Linked DNA regions of Oryctolagus cuniculus. The protein of the gene in region 3 interacts with the protein of the main gene of each other region in a pairwise test. Links are inferred from orthologs where the notes say so. Each region holds a gene or a part of one and is shown on either strand. Other genes may lie near its edges.

Region 1 (4,371 bases), on a different chromosome or scaffold from region 3:
TGTGGGAGACCAGGATGGGGTTCCTGGCTCCTGGCTTTGGCCTGGCCCAGCCCCAGCTTTTGCAGCCACAGACCTCATTAGGGTCAGGTGGCAAAAGGCTATGGCAGCAAAGGCAGCAACTCTGAAATCCCAGACCCTGTCAGCATCATTACCCATGAGCAGCTGTGGTCTCCTGGGAGGGGGTGCCCCTCACCATGAAATCCAGCTTCACTCTCAACCCCAGTTTCCTGCAAGTGTGCACCCTGGTATGTAGCAGGTAATGGCTCAGGTAGTTGAGTTTTGCCCACACACAGGAGACCTGGACCAAGTTCCTGGCTCTGAGCTGCTGCCTTGCTAGCTCTGGCAGTTGTGGACATCTGAGGAGTGAACCATGAGATTGGGGCTCTTCCCCACCACCTACTCTGCCCCCTCCCAGTAAATAATTTAAAAGAAAAAAAAACATAAACTCTTTTGACTACAAAAAAAAAAATTGTACACCAAAAGTTGAAAACAGAAAAAGCTGCATTAGAAAGTTGATAATGGGGCCCAGCGCTGTGGCATACAGGGTTAAACTGACGCCTGTGACGCTGGTATCCCTTACAGACCCCAGATCGAGTCCCGGCTGCTTCACTTCCGATGCAGCTCCCTGCTAATGCACCTGGGAAAGCAGCGGAGGATGGCCCAAATGCTTGGGCCCCTGCCATCCACATGGGAGACCCCGATGAAGCTCCTAGCTTTGGCTCAGTCCAGCTCCAGCCATTGGGGCCATTTGGAGAGTGAACCAGAGAATGTAAGATCTCTCTATCTCTCCCTCCTCTCTGTAACTTTGCTTTTCAAATAAGTAAAATACAACTTTAAGAAGAAAGTTTATAATGTACTTATTAGGTCCTGATAAAATGTGCTATTAAGAATTTAAATAAAAATTTACTTCTCAATTACCAGCCACTGAAAACTACAACAAACATGACTACTAGAGAAACTCTTTAATCATTCCTAAGTAAAGAATGCCATCCAGCAGTGGTATTTAAAAAATATATATTTATTTGAAAAAAAAAAATACCCCTACAGAGAGGTAGAGAGGTCTTCCATCCCCTGGCTCACTCCCCAGATGGCTGCAATGGCTGGAGCTATGCTGATCTGAAGCCAGGAGCCAGGAGCTTCTTCCAAGTTTCCCACGCTGGTGAAGGAGCCCAAGGACTTGGGCCATCTTCCACTGCTTTCCCAGGCCACAGCAGAGAGCTGGACCGGAAGTGGAGCAGCTGGGACTCGACCCGGCGCCCAATAGGCCACAGCACCAGCCGGCAGCGACATTTTACAACATTGGATGGCAGGCCCTGGATCACTGGAGATTCCCACAAAGCCCAGAAATAGTTGGGTTTAAAAAAAAAGTTTATGAGCTACAAAAAATATCAACACCCTGAAAACGCACAGGAATCCACGGTTAGAATTTAGCGTTCTATCCCGAGAGATACGTGAAATAGAGGTCTACAAACAAGGCTGACAGGGAGGAGGTGACCTGCCATTTATTTCATAGCTCGGCCTGCCCTTTGCCGTGGGACATTGTCAAGGGCGCCGGGCACGCGAGCGGAGGAAAGCACCCAGCGTGCGGCGAGTCCCCACCCACAGCCTTCGGGGTTCAGGGACAGGCGCCGTCCACTTCAACCGCGCCGAGTCCCCTCAGGGACCCCCAGCGCTCCGCGCCCAGGGCAACCGGAAGCTCCGCGGAGTCCCGCCCCGCAGCCCGGAGGCGGAAGTGGCGTCACAATCCGGCCGCGTCCCCCGTCCCGGGTTCGGGAAATCTCCAAAGCTGCTGCGTTTTCGTTCCTCCTCGGGTTGGTTCCTTCTTGGAGTCGCTCGCGTGAAGGGGAGGCCCTGAGTGTGGAAGGAAGGCGACGAAGGACGCGGGTGGCTTCCTCAGGGAGGCCCGGGCCTTCCGGAGCCGCGAGTCCTCCCGGGGCCGCGGGGCCCGAGCGGCCGCTCCGCGCGTGGGTGCCCCGGACGGGCCCGGGCCGGAAGCGTCGCGACAGCGCGGCCTGGGGACGTTTCCGTCCTCTGAGGTCGGGCCTTGGGAAATCTCCGGGGACCGCCCGTGCCCCGCGCTCCAGGAGGGATCCGGGATCCGGCGCGTTCCGGTGAGCTCCGAGCGAGAGTGGGTTCGCAGCGGGCCTCCCCGTGCTCGTAGTCGGCGTGGCGGCACGTCACGCTGAAGCAGGAGGATGAAGGTGCTTTCGGAGACGCCCGGTAGAGAGGTGTCTCGATGGGAGGGTTACACGCTCGTGGGCGACAGCTCGTCCTGCGGAAGGGAAAGTCGAACGCTCGATGTGCCTCGGCCCGGGCGTCTCACAGAGCTGACGGTCCGGGGCCGCCTCACTAACGCGAGGCTTGAAACAAGTCGAATTGACTGTTAACAGAGTGATAGTCTATCTTTTTCCCCACCTTCTTTCAAAAAATTTTAAATCTACCTAGGACAATGAATGCCCATTGTAATAGACTCCTCTGTGTTCAGCATGTGCCATGTTTTTTCTCTCTTCAGATAAGCAAACATATTTTATGGTTAAAATTATATGAGAGTGCATTGAAAATAAATTAGACATGATGCCTCCACGTTAGCTGCAGGTGTGATGTCTCCGTTGTTAGGTATTTGCTAATGCAACTCAAAGGTGAAAGACATTGGACTATTATTTCAATCAAGAAAGTGAAAGACTGTCACGTAATATCAACCCTTTTTAGTAGAAGCCAGAATTCTCCACATTGTTCCAAATTTGGCTTTTGTGCGGTTGAGGACATTTGGATAGGGAACCTGAGGATGGAGGATCTGTCTCTCCCTCCCTTCTGTCACTCTGCAGTTGAAATAAGTAATTAAATCTTTTTTTAAAAAAAAATCCATTCAAGGTTTTGTTAACAGAGTTAGAGAGAGAGATAGATCTTCACCTGCTGGTTCACTCCCTCAGTGACCACAGTGGAGGCCAGGAGCCTGGAACTCTGTCCAGGTCTCCCATGTGGGTGCAGGGACCCAAGCACTCTGGCCATCTTCTGCTTTCCCAGGCACATTAGCAGGGTGCTGGATCAGAAGTGGAGCAGCTGGGACTTGAATGCATGTTCAAATGGGATGCCAGCGTTGCAAGCAACAGCTTAACCCACTGTGCCATAATTTTGATGTTGCATTTATTAATGTCTTTTAGTCTGTTGAATCTAGGTTAGTTCCTATTGTTCCTGCATTATATTGACTTAAAGATTTATTTAAAGAGGAGGGAGATCTTCCACCTGCTGATCCACTCCACTAGTGACCACAGTGGCCTCGGCCAGAGCCATCTGGGTCTCCCACATGGATGTCACAGGCCCAAATAATTTGGCCATCTTCCACTGCTTTCCCAGGCACACTAGCCTGGAGCTGGATCCGAAGCTGGGCAGCTGGGACTCAGACTGGTACTCTGATAAGGGGTGCCAGTATTGCAGCAGATGATGGTGTGAAATGCTAGGGTTCCTGTCACTCACTTGGGAGACCAGAATGGAGTTCCTGGCTCCTGGCTTCAGCCAGACCCAGCTCGGGCTGTTAAGGACATTTGGATAGTGAACCTGAGGATGGAAGATCTGTCTCTCCCTCCCTTCTGTCACTCTGCATTTGAAATAAGTAATAAAATCTTTTTAAGAAAAAAAGAATGTTTTAAAAAAATGAAACTTTATTATATAAACCTAATAAAGGTATGATTTTCTGTTTGTTGTAAAAAACATATTCTTTTTTGCATTTAAAAAAAAAACTTATTGGTGGCTGGCGCCGTGGCTCAACAGGCTAATCCTCTGCCTTGCGGCACTGGCACACCGGGTTCTAGTCCCGGTCGGGGCGCCGGATTCTGTCCTGGTTGCCCCTCTTCCAGGCCAGCTCTCTGCTATGGCCCGGGAGTGCAGTGGAGGATGGCCCAAGTGCTTGGGCCCCTGCACCCCATGGGAGACCAGGAGAAGCACCTGGCTCCTGCCTTCAGATCAGTGCAGTGCGCCGGCCACAGCGCGCCTGCCGCGGCGGCCATTGGAGGGTGAACCAACGGCAAAAAAAAAGGAAGACCTTCCTTTCTGTCTCTCTCTCACTGTCCACTCTGCCTGTCAAAAAAAAAAAAAAAAAAAAAAAAAAACAACTTATTTATTTGAAATGCAGAGAGACAGAGAAAAGCATCTTCCATCTGCTTGTTCACTCCCGAAATGACTGCAATGGCCCAGACTGGGCCAGGCTGAAACCAGGACCTCAGGCTTATATTGGTCTCCTACATAGGTGGCAAGGGCCCAAGTATTTGAGCCATTTTCTGCTGCTTTCCCCAGGTACATAAGCAGAGAGCTACATCAGAAGCAGATCAGGGGCAGGCGCTGTGGTACAGTGGGTAAAGCTGCCGCCTGCAGTGC
Region 2 (4,371 bases), on a different chromosome or scaffold from region 3:
GGAAGGAAGACCTTTCTCTCTGTCTCTCTCTGTGTCTATAACTCTACCTGTCAAATAAATTAAAAAAAAAAAAAGCTTCCAACAGGGCTCCTGAGGCAGCTCCCTCCAGAAGGCCGGGACCACAGAACTGGCACAGGGCGGTAAGCGACCACTTGCAACAACGGCATCCCACATCAAAGCACTGGTTTGAGTCCTTAAGTTCTGCTTCCAACTCAGCTCCCTGCTAATGCGCCTGGAAAGGCAACAGAAGTCGTCCACGAGCGTGCAGCCCCTGCCACTCGTGAGGGAGACCTGGATGGAGCTCCTGGCTCCTGGCTTCTGCCTGGCCAACCTCTGAGTGCTGTGGCCACTATGGAGGTGAAGCAGCAGGTGTTCGGTGCCCCTCCCTCCCTTCCTCCCTCCCTGTCACGCTGCCTGTCAAATAAATAGAGAGTAGCGCTCTGGAGCAGCCTAGGGAAATTAAGAGGTGCACAAGACCCCTAGCAGACAGTCAAACAGAAACAGCAGGTCTGTCTCTGCTCCCTCTTCCTCGTACCCACTCCTCTTTGATGTGCTCCCACTCATGGTAGACAGAAGTGGCAGAATGAAACCGGTACAACTGTGGAAAACACACAGGAGACAACAAGGACATTTGCAGACGACACCTTCACAGACGGCCGAGCCAGCCCCTCAACCGCCTGCCCTCTGAAAAGGCTTTCTGTACCCGCTCCATCAGAATAAACCCACACCCCACGGCACCAGGCCTATTTCTAGTACTTCTTCCTCGAGCTCTGAACTACGCGTGGTCAGTCTGTCTCCTCTAGGAGTTTAAATTCCTAAGCAATGTCAAGTTTAAGTTAGGGGTGGGAGAAGGCTGGCCACCATGTCCATTGCTGCGAGCACCGAGCTCTGGTTCAAGTCCTGGCTGCTCCACTTTCAATCCAGCTCCCTGCTAATGCATCTGGGAGGCAGTGGAAGATGGCCCGAGTTCGTGGGCCCCTGCCACCCATGTGAGAGACCCAGATTTAGTTTTGGGCTCCTGGCTTCGGCCTGGCCCAGCCCTAGCTGTACTGCAGACATTAGGGGAGTGAATCAGTGGATGGAAGATCTGTCTCTGCCTCTCTCTCTGTAACTCTGCCTTGCTCATAGATAAACATATTTTTTAAAGACAAAGTTTAGGTCAGATCTCTCTTCATTTTTCTCTGCCCCATCCCCAGGTCTTATTACTTACGCAATGTGGGTACCAATAATTGCTCATGTAAAAATGAACAAGTTACTGAGTCAGGGTTTGTAACAGGCCATGGAATCTGTTTCAGTGAAGAAAGGCCACGAGAAAGCGAGTCTGAGAACAAGGTGGCAACAGTCCCCTACCTGCCTCTCCGCCCCGGCTCCTGCCCGTCACCGGACACGTCCTGCTCCCAGAGGGTCACTTGGCGTCTGTGGGTGTCCAGCCGCCTCTGTGACACATCCTGACGGGCCTGGGGCTGGACGAGGGGAATGTCTGAAGCCCAGGTGGGAGCCATCCTTGGCACGGTTGAAAGGGGCCGGGCTTGGAAGTGGGAGGGGGGGATCAAGCCAGAGACACCTGCGGAACCACAAGAGCACAGTCAGCTTCCCAGGCAGCGGGGGCGACCGCCAGCCCCTCGCCTGCGCCGCCCCACTGACCTGAGGGCTGAAACATCTCCATGTGACTTGAAGACGCTAGGTGCTGCCTCCAGCCTTCTATGCTCCCCTGGACAAGAGGAGAAACAAGGACACTCCAGTTCAATTTTCAGGTCACCTTCCAAAGAGAAAGCCCCTACAATAACAAAGTCACAATGCTAAATTACAGCCAGCTCCCCTGTCTCTCAGCTCCTCTTCCCACTCTTGTGGAAGAAGTATGAGACCCCACCCCACTGCCTGCTTGTCCTAATGCAAAACTCAGGCAGGGGGCCTGCGCTGTGGCCTAACGGGTAAAGCCACCACCTGCAGTGCCGGCATCCCTTACGAGCACAGGTTCGAGTCCTAGGTACTCCACTTCCAATCCAGCTCTCTGCTATGGCCTGGGAAAGCAGCAGAAGATGGCCCAGGTCATTGGGTCCCTGCACCCGCCTGGGAGACCTGGAGGAAGCTCCTCACTCCTGGCTTTGGATCGGCGCAGCTCCGGCCATTGTGGCCAATTGGGGAGTGGACCAGTGGATGGAAGACCTCTCTCTCTCTCTCTCTCTCTCTGCTTCTCCTCTGTGTACTCTTTCAAATAAATAAATCTTTAAAAAACAAAAACAAAACAAACAAACAAACAAAACTCAGGCAGAAACCAGGAGGGAGGCGGAGAAAACTCAAGGAGGTGGACGAGCCAAGGGGGAGCTTTTGGGCTTTGATCATCCTGCTAGGACTCAGGCAGTGTCTTTACCCTTCTCCTGAGGTTTCTACTGTCCCTGCTGCTCCTGGCCTGAGAGGACGAAGGAGGCACACCGTGCAGAGGCCCCGAGCCCAGCCTCCAGAGTTCTCGCCACGGCTCGGCAAGGCCTTGGGGAAGCCCACCCAGACACCACCAGGCCATGACTCCCGGGTCCTTTCCCAGCAGAGCGCTGGCCCAAGGCCTGGCCCCTGATGAATGTGGCCACATGTAGGGCTGGACACCTCCCCAGGACCGCCTGGGAGTCCAGATGGCCTAGATGCCCCCGCACAAGAGCCAGATCTTTCTTGCAACTACCCTCTTGCCCATGCCCTCGGCGTCCATCCCTGCGGACCTGCTCTCTCTAGGGTCCTAGAGCACAGTGGGCCCTTCAAGATCTTTCTCACACACTCCCACCCGAATTCACCCCCACCTGGGATTCCCTTCCTGCATTCTAGTCTGCTTTTTTCCTGAAGGAATTATTCTGGTCCATCACCCTCACCCTCATCTCCCAGCTAACAAGCAGCCTGCTCGCGTCTCCCAGCACCCTAGTCTGATTTCTGCTCTCTCTCCTCCGTGCCCTGATATCCTCAACCTTCACCCTGCACACCCTGCAGGACCCTGAATTCTAAGGCCGTCCTGACCACCTCATCCGCTCCTTTACCCAGCCCCTGTACCCTTCTTCCCCTGTGACCCCCTGCACCCCCCAGCACCCCGTCTCAGCCCCTTCCCGCCCCCAACCGACTCTTCCCGAACGCCCCTTACTCAGCGCGAGAACGCCCCCTCCGCCCCTTGGTCACACCCACCACACCTCGCTCCCCGCCCGGCCTCCGCCCTTGACTACGCCTGCGCCAGGCGGGCGGCGTGGCGGGCCGCTCTGAAACTCCGTTTTGTCCAGGAAGGAAAAGGAGCAAAGGTGCACGCAGGCGCAGTGGCGCCTAAAGCTGGGCCCAATTACTGCGTCTAAGCAACTGCGCGCCTTGGCCGCTCCGCCCCACTCCGGGGACCCGGGAAAACCTCTGAGCTAATCAGAAAAAGCGGAAGGCGGGAGCTCGCGGGACCCGCCCAGCGCGCCGCCCAATGGAGCGGAAGAGGGTCACAGAACTAGCCAATCAGGCGCGGTCCTGGGGGCGGGCTCTCTGGGCGCGAAGTTCGGACCCGGGAATTCCGAAGGAGGGGTCTGCGCTGCCCGCGCGCCGAGACCGCGCCCCTCCCGGCCCCGGCTTCCTGGCTGTCAAACTGCAGTGCGAGCGCTTAGCCCAGCTGAGGAGGCCGAGAGGACCTGCGGCCGCCGCTCGGGCTGGCGTCGCCTGGAGAGGAGCCCGCTCCAAGACTGCGCCGCGCAGGTAGGTCCGAAACGGAGCTGGGGCCGGGAGGGCGAGCGCTCGCGAGTTCGCCAGGAGCTCCTTCTTCTGATTTACCCCACCCGAAGGAAGCCGGGAAGCGAGGTTTAGATCCGCTTTGTTGGGAGTACCTAGGGACCTGTTTGCACTGCTCTTTGCGTGTATGTGTGTGTGTGTTGGGGGGTGACAGTGAATTCACTCCCCCCGCCCCGGGGTTCAAGCTAGTTCTGAATGAGGGATTGGCCAAAAAGAGCGAGGGCGCGGGCGAACGGGGAGGGGGGTGTTGTTTTGGATAAGCAGGTCTGACAGGAAGAAGCTTGTCTTCAAATTGCACCGGGGCAGCCCGTTCGTGTAGCAGCACCCACACACGCCTCCGATTTGCATTTCCCCAGAAGCTGCCTAACGTGACCTTTGCCTTGCGCAGGTCGGAGGCTCCCGGGATGTCTGGCGGCCCGAGGATCCAGCTCCACTGAGTGGCGGGAGGACGCGTTCCAGTTTGCCCCTTGCACCCTGTCCTCCCTGTTTTTTTTTTTCCCTTGCACATCTGCTTCGCAGCCAGTTTTGCATCGCCTGCCTCAGCTGCCTGCACTCCTCCGGGTTTGCACTGCCCAAGTAGCGCTCCAGGTTGAAACTGCACACAGCCCAGCTCACGTCTGCACACCAGACTGAGAA
Region 3 (4,271 bases):
TCATTCCTTCCATCTCCCAAATCCCTGAAAGCTACTGCTCCTTTTTTAGTTTCTATGGTTTTGTTTTGTTAGAATGTCACATAAATGGAATCACATAGAGTGAAGGCTTTTCACATTTTCTTTGACCTACTTAATGCTTTCAAGGTTATTTCATGCCTTTTTTTTCGCTTCATAGTTGATTTCTTCTTATCACTTATACTTTCCATTGTATAAAAGTTATCAAAGTTTGTTTATTCATTCACCTACTATTGAAGGATATCTTGACTACTTTCAGGTTTTTGCAATTGTGATAAAGCTGCTAGAAATATGTGTGTCAAGATTTTTTATGTGAGCCAATTGTCATTTTAGTTCTAAAATTCCCATTTTGTTCTTTATAACTTTAATTTCTTGGCTGAGACTTTCTATTTTGCTCTTTTGTTTCAAGCATGCCCATAATTATTTATTAAGCATTTTTTTATGACTGTTTTAAAATCTTCAACAGATAAAACTTTTTTTTAAAGATTTATTTGTTTATTTGAAAGAGTTACATAGAGAGAGGAGAGGCAGAGAGAGAGAGGGAGGTCTTCCATCTGCTGTTTCACTCCCCAATTGGCTGCAATGGCCGGAGCTGCGCCAATCCGAAGCCAGGAGCCAAGAGCTTCTTCCAGGTCTCCCATGTGGGTGAAGGGCTATCTTCTACTGCTTCCCCAGGCCATAGCAGAGAGCTGGATCGGAGGTGGAGCAGCCAGGACTCGAACTGGCACCCCTACGGGATGCTGGCACTGCAGGTGGTGGCTTTACCCACTACTCCACAGTGCAGACCACCAGATAACTGTTAACATCTGTTTCATTTCTCATATTTGCCTGATTTGTCTTTTCTCATATTTCTTATTATTGGGATGAGTGAATTTTTAATTGAGACCTATTGAGACTGTAAGACTGTGATCTTTTACTTTAGCTGGCCTCTTTTAATATTCCTTTCACTAGAAAAGGAAGACACTGCCTCATCAGTGCTAGGAAAGGGTACAAGTACAGTTTCTCTACCCAACCTCAGCTGACACCTGAGGAGGGCCAGGCTCCTAGGTACTCCTAGACAGGGGTGGGAGATCAGGTTCCCTCTAGGCCTCTGTTGTTACCACCAGAGCTGGGAGGAACAAAGGCTCCTCCTTAGGGTTCCTCCTGTGTCTATCACTGACATCATGAGTATGCGGCTTTGCTACTGCTGAGAGATGGCCAGTGTCCTGACTCTGCACCAGGTCTCCTCTCACACCATCCCAAGGAGGAGGAGGCTACCTCTTCCTGCAGGATAGGGAAGGATGTCCTGCCTCCCCATGTGGTCTCCACTTGGCATCGCCTACTGAGGACTTCAGTACTCAGCCCACAAAGGGGAGAGGGAACAGGAAGGCTTGGGAACCTCTGTCAGACCCTGGCAAGGGTACAAGCGTAGGCACAAGCACAGGCTTTCCACTTGTCCTGTGCTGGCAGGAATGGGGCTGTAGTTTTTTCTATGGTCTTTGTGTGGACAGGGCAGTTATTAGACATTGTCTAAATGTCATCTGCCTTGCTAGACAGCCCATTTCCTGGTCCTTTGGCCAGATAAGAATGGTTTTTCTAAGGTCTGTTTTTTCTGCACTCATTGTCATTTCCATTTGCCAGTTTTTCCTGCACCCTGTCTGAGACATATAGGGAAAAAGAAAATCCAGGAACTCAGTAGCATGTGTCCTGATGTCCCTCTACTTTTAGAGCATTCTTTTGTTTATTTTATATATAAAGTTCAGAGTGAGTTTTTAGGTGTATTTAGCAAAAGAAAGAAGTCTACTCCATTCCAAAGTTGTAATCTCTTTCACAGGCTTTATTAACAGTTATACCACATTAGACATCCTGAGAACAGGAACAACACTGAACTTGGGAGTTTAGAGAACTAGGTCCAAATCTCAGCTAACCTGGGAGTTCAGACAGATCCTAGCTGTCACTCATTCGCTGAATATCACAATTACTTAACCTACTGGAACTTCAGCTTCATGTCTATAAATGGAAATACCATCACTGTTTCAAAAGGTTCCTGAAAGCATCTGATTCACAAGTTGGCACAAAGTTTGCATTCACTCACTCTGAACCTGTTTATCCAAAAGGTTAAGATAAAAATTGAATGGTTTAGATTTAAATGAGCTGTGAATTAATAATTATTTATTCTATATCTTGTTTTATTCTTAAACATCTTTATTAATTTTTATTTACTTGAAAGGCAGGGCAACAGAGACAGAGACAAAGAGACTTCTTCCACCCACCAGTTCACTTCTGAAATGCCCAGCCAGCGCTGGGCCAGGCAAAAGCCAGGAGTCTGGAACTCCATCCAGGTCTCCCACACAGGTGCCACCCAAGTATTTGAGCCATCATCTGCTGTTTCTCAGGGTGCACACTAACAAGAAGCTGGATTGGAAGTGGAGTGGGAACTCAAACTCAGGCATTCCAACATGAGATGTGGTACCCCATGTTGCCTTTTTTTTTTTTTTTTTAATTAATTTATTTTTTTCTTGACAGGCAGAGTGGATAGTGAGAGAGAGAGAGACAGAGAGAAAGGTCTTCCTTTTGCCGTTGGTTCACCCTCCAATGGCTGCCACGGCTGGTGTGCTGCGGCCAGCGCACTGCACTGATCCGAAGGCAGGAACCAGGTGCTTCCTCCTGGTCTCCCATGTGGATGCAGGGCCCAAGCACTTGGGCCATCCTCCACTGCCTTCCCTGGCCACAGCAGAGAGCTGGCCTGGAAGAGGGGCAACCAGGACAGAATCCGGCGCCCCGACCGGGACTAGAACCCGGTGTGCCGGCGCCGCTAGGTGGAGGATTAGCCTATTGAGCCGCGGCACCGGCCCCATGTTACTTCTTAACCTCTGCCAAATGCCCACCCTGTCCATCTTGTTTTAAAGTAGGCTCCAATTCAAATTCAGAAAAATACATATGTAAACTAAAGGTAAACCTGTAATTTTAGTGTAGAGATGAATCTGTCTTGGTTTCTCACTTCTTGTTCTAGCTGCAGAGTCTTCTGGTATTTTTCAGCTTCAGAAACTGGAGCCCCTAGACCAAAATCATGTTCTTTGGTGGTAACCTAGTGGAAAGAATGGACAACAATGCACAAGCATTCAGTTAAAAACAGCTCTATGATTTTTTTCAGATCAATAAATTTTTAAAATAACATTATTAAATATGTTGTTTAGAACCATTTCCCACCAGCTAGGAGGATTAAAATTTCGTTACAAAATTTTGTGTTTTCCAAATATCAAACTATGACATTGAACATGCTTTTCAAAGAAGATATGCCCTGCCCTAATTCCCTTGTAATCACTATTCGAAGTAAACCCAGGTTGGTGGTAAATTAAATAGTCAATTTCTAGGCTTCTGTTGTCTGGTATAGTAGACATCAGCTACACATTTGCAGTTGCTATTGTATACTTAACAAAGGTTTGCTACCCATATAGTAAACGCTGATTTCCAGGAAATGTAATTTGCATAAATAAAAAAAAAAGAAATGAAACACTATAATATTCTTAAACAACTCTGGTGGCAGTGTGAATGGATACAATATTTATGGAGAACAAGTGTATACAAAAAATCTACTAATGGGCTGGCGCAGTGGCATAGCAGGTAAAGCTGCCACCTGCAGTGCTGGTACGGGCGCCAGTTTGAATCCTGGTTGCTCCACCTCCGATCCAGATTCCTGTTAATGCATCTGGGAAAGCAGCAGCAGATGGCCCAAATGCTTGGGCCTCTGCCACCCATGTGGGAGACCCAAAGGAAGCTCCTGGCTCCTGACTTTGGACCGGCCCAGCTTTGGCTATTGAGGTTATTTGTGGAATGAACCAGCGGATGGAAGGTCACTATCTCTTTCTTCCACCCCCTCTCTCTAACTCTGCCTTTCAAATAAGTAAATAAATCTTTTTAAAAATCTATTAACATTACAAATGCACATATGGCCTCTGTCCAAATAATCCGACTTCTGGGAATTTATCCTACAGATACGTTTGCCAATGTGCAACATTACAAACGTGAAAGACGTTTTATTATACATAATACTCTGCGTTGTGCTTTTTACCTGACAGTGTATCCTGGTGATTTTGCATATTAGCAAAATAACTTCTTTCTCTCAATCAAAGTTGCCATTATGTTGAGAAAGTAAGAGTTTGTTACGAACTTCCTATATATTTCCAGTGAACACAGCTGTTTTCTCCAAGATCTCAGGGAATTACTGGATCAGGATCACGCAAACAACTAACCTAAACTTGTACTCTGTGCAACCC

Evidence for each region.
Region 1: the proteins of TSGA10 (region 3) and zinc finger protein 426-like interact in binary tests that used the Homo sapiens proteins (3 or more experiments, as listed by UniProt). The two-hybrid records come from large-scale screens. The link is inferred for Oryctolagus cuniculus from reciprocal best matches to the Homo sapiens genes TSGA10 and ZNF426.
Region 2: the proteins of TSGA10 (region 3) and CCHCR1 interact in binary tests that used the Homo sapiens proteins (3 or more experiments, as listed by UniProt). The link is inferred for Oryctolagus cuniculus from reciprocal best matches to the Homo sapiens genes TSGA10 and CCHCR1.

What each region holds. Positions count from the first base shown.
Region 1 is NC_091447.1:67,469,333-67,473,703, reverse strand, and holds the start of zinc finger protein 426-like, read left to right. Parts: upstream 1-1,596; 5' UTR 1,597-2,111; intron 2,112-4,371. UniProt on the Homo sapiens protein: May be involved in transcriptional regulation.
Region 2 is NC_091436.1:139,335,753-139,340,123, reverse strand, and holds the start of CCHCR1 (coiled-coil alpha-helical rod protein 1), read right to left. Parts: upstream 3,102-4,371; 5' UTR 2,588-3,101; coding exon 2,372-2,587; intron 1,712-2,371; coding exon 1,645-1,711; intron 1,565-1,644; coding exon 1,351-1,564; intron 1-1,350. UniProt on the Homo sapiens protein: May be a regulator of keratinocyte proliferation or differentiation.
Region 3 is NC_091433.1:109,304,869-109,309,139, reverse strand, and holds part of TSGA10 (testis-specific gene 10 protein), read right to left. Parts: intron 3,083-4,271; coding exon 2,954-3,082; intron 1-2,953. UniProt on the Homo sapiens protein: Plays a role in spermatogenesis. When overexpressed, prevents nuclear localization of HIF1A.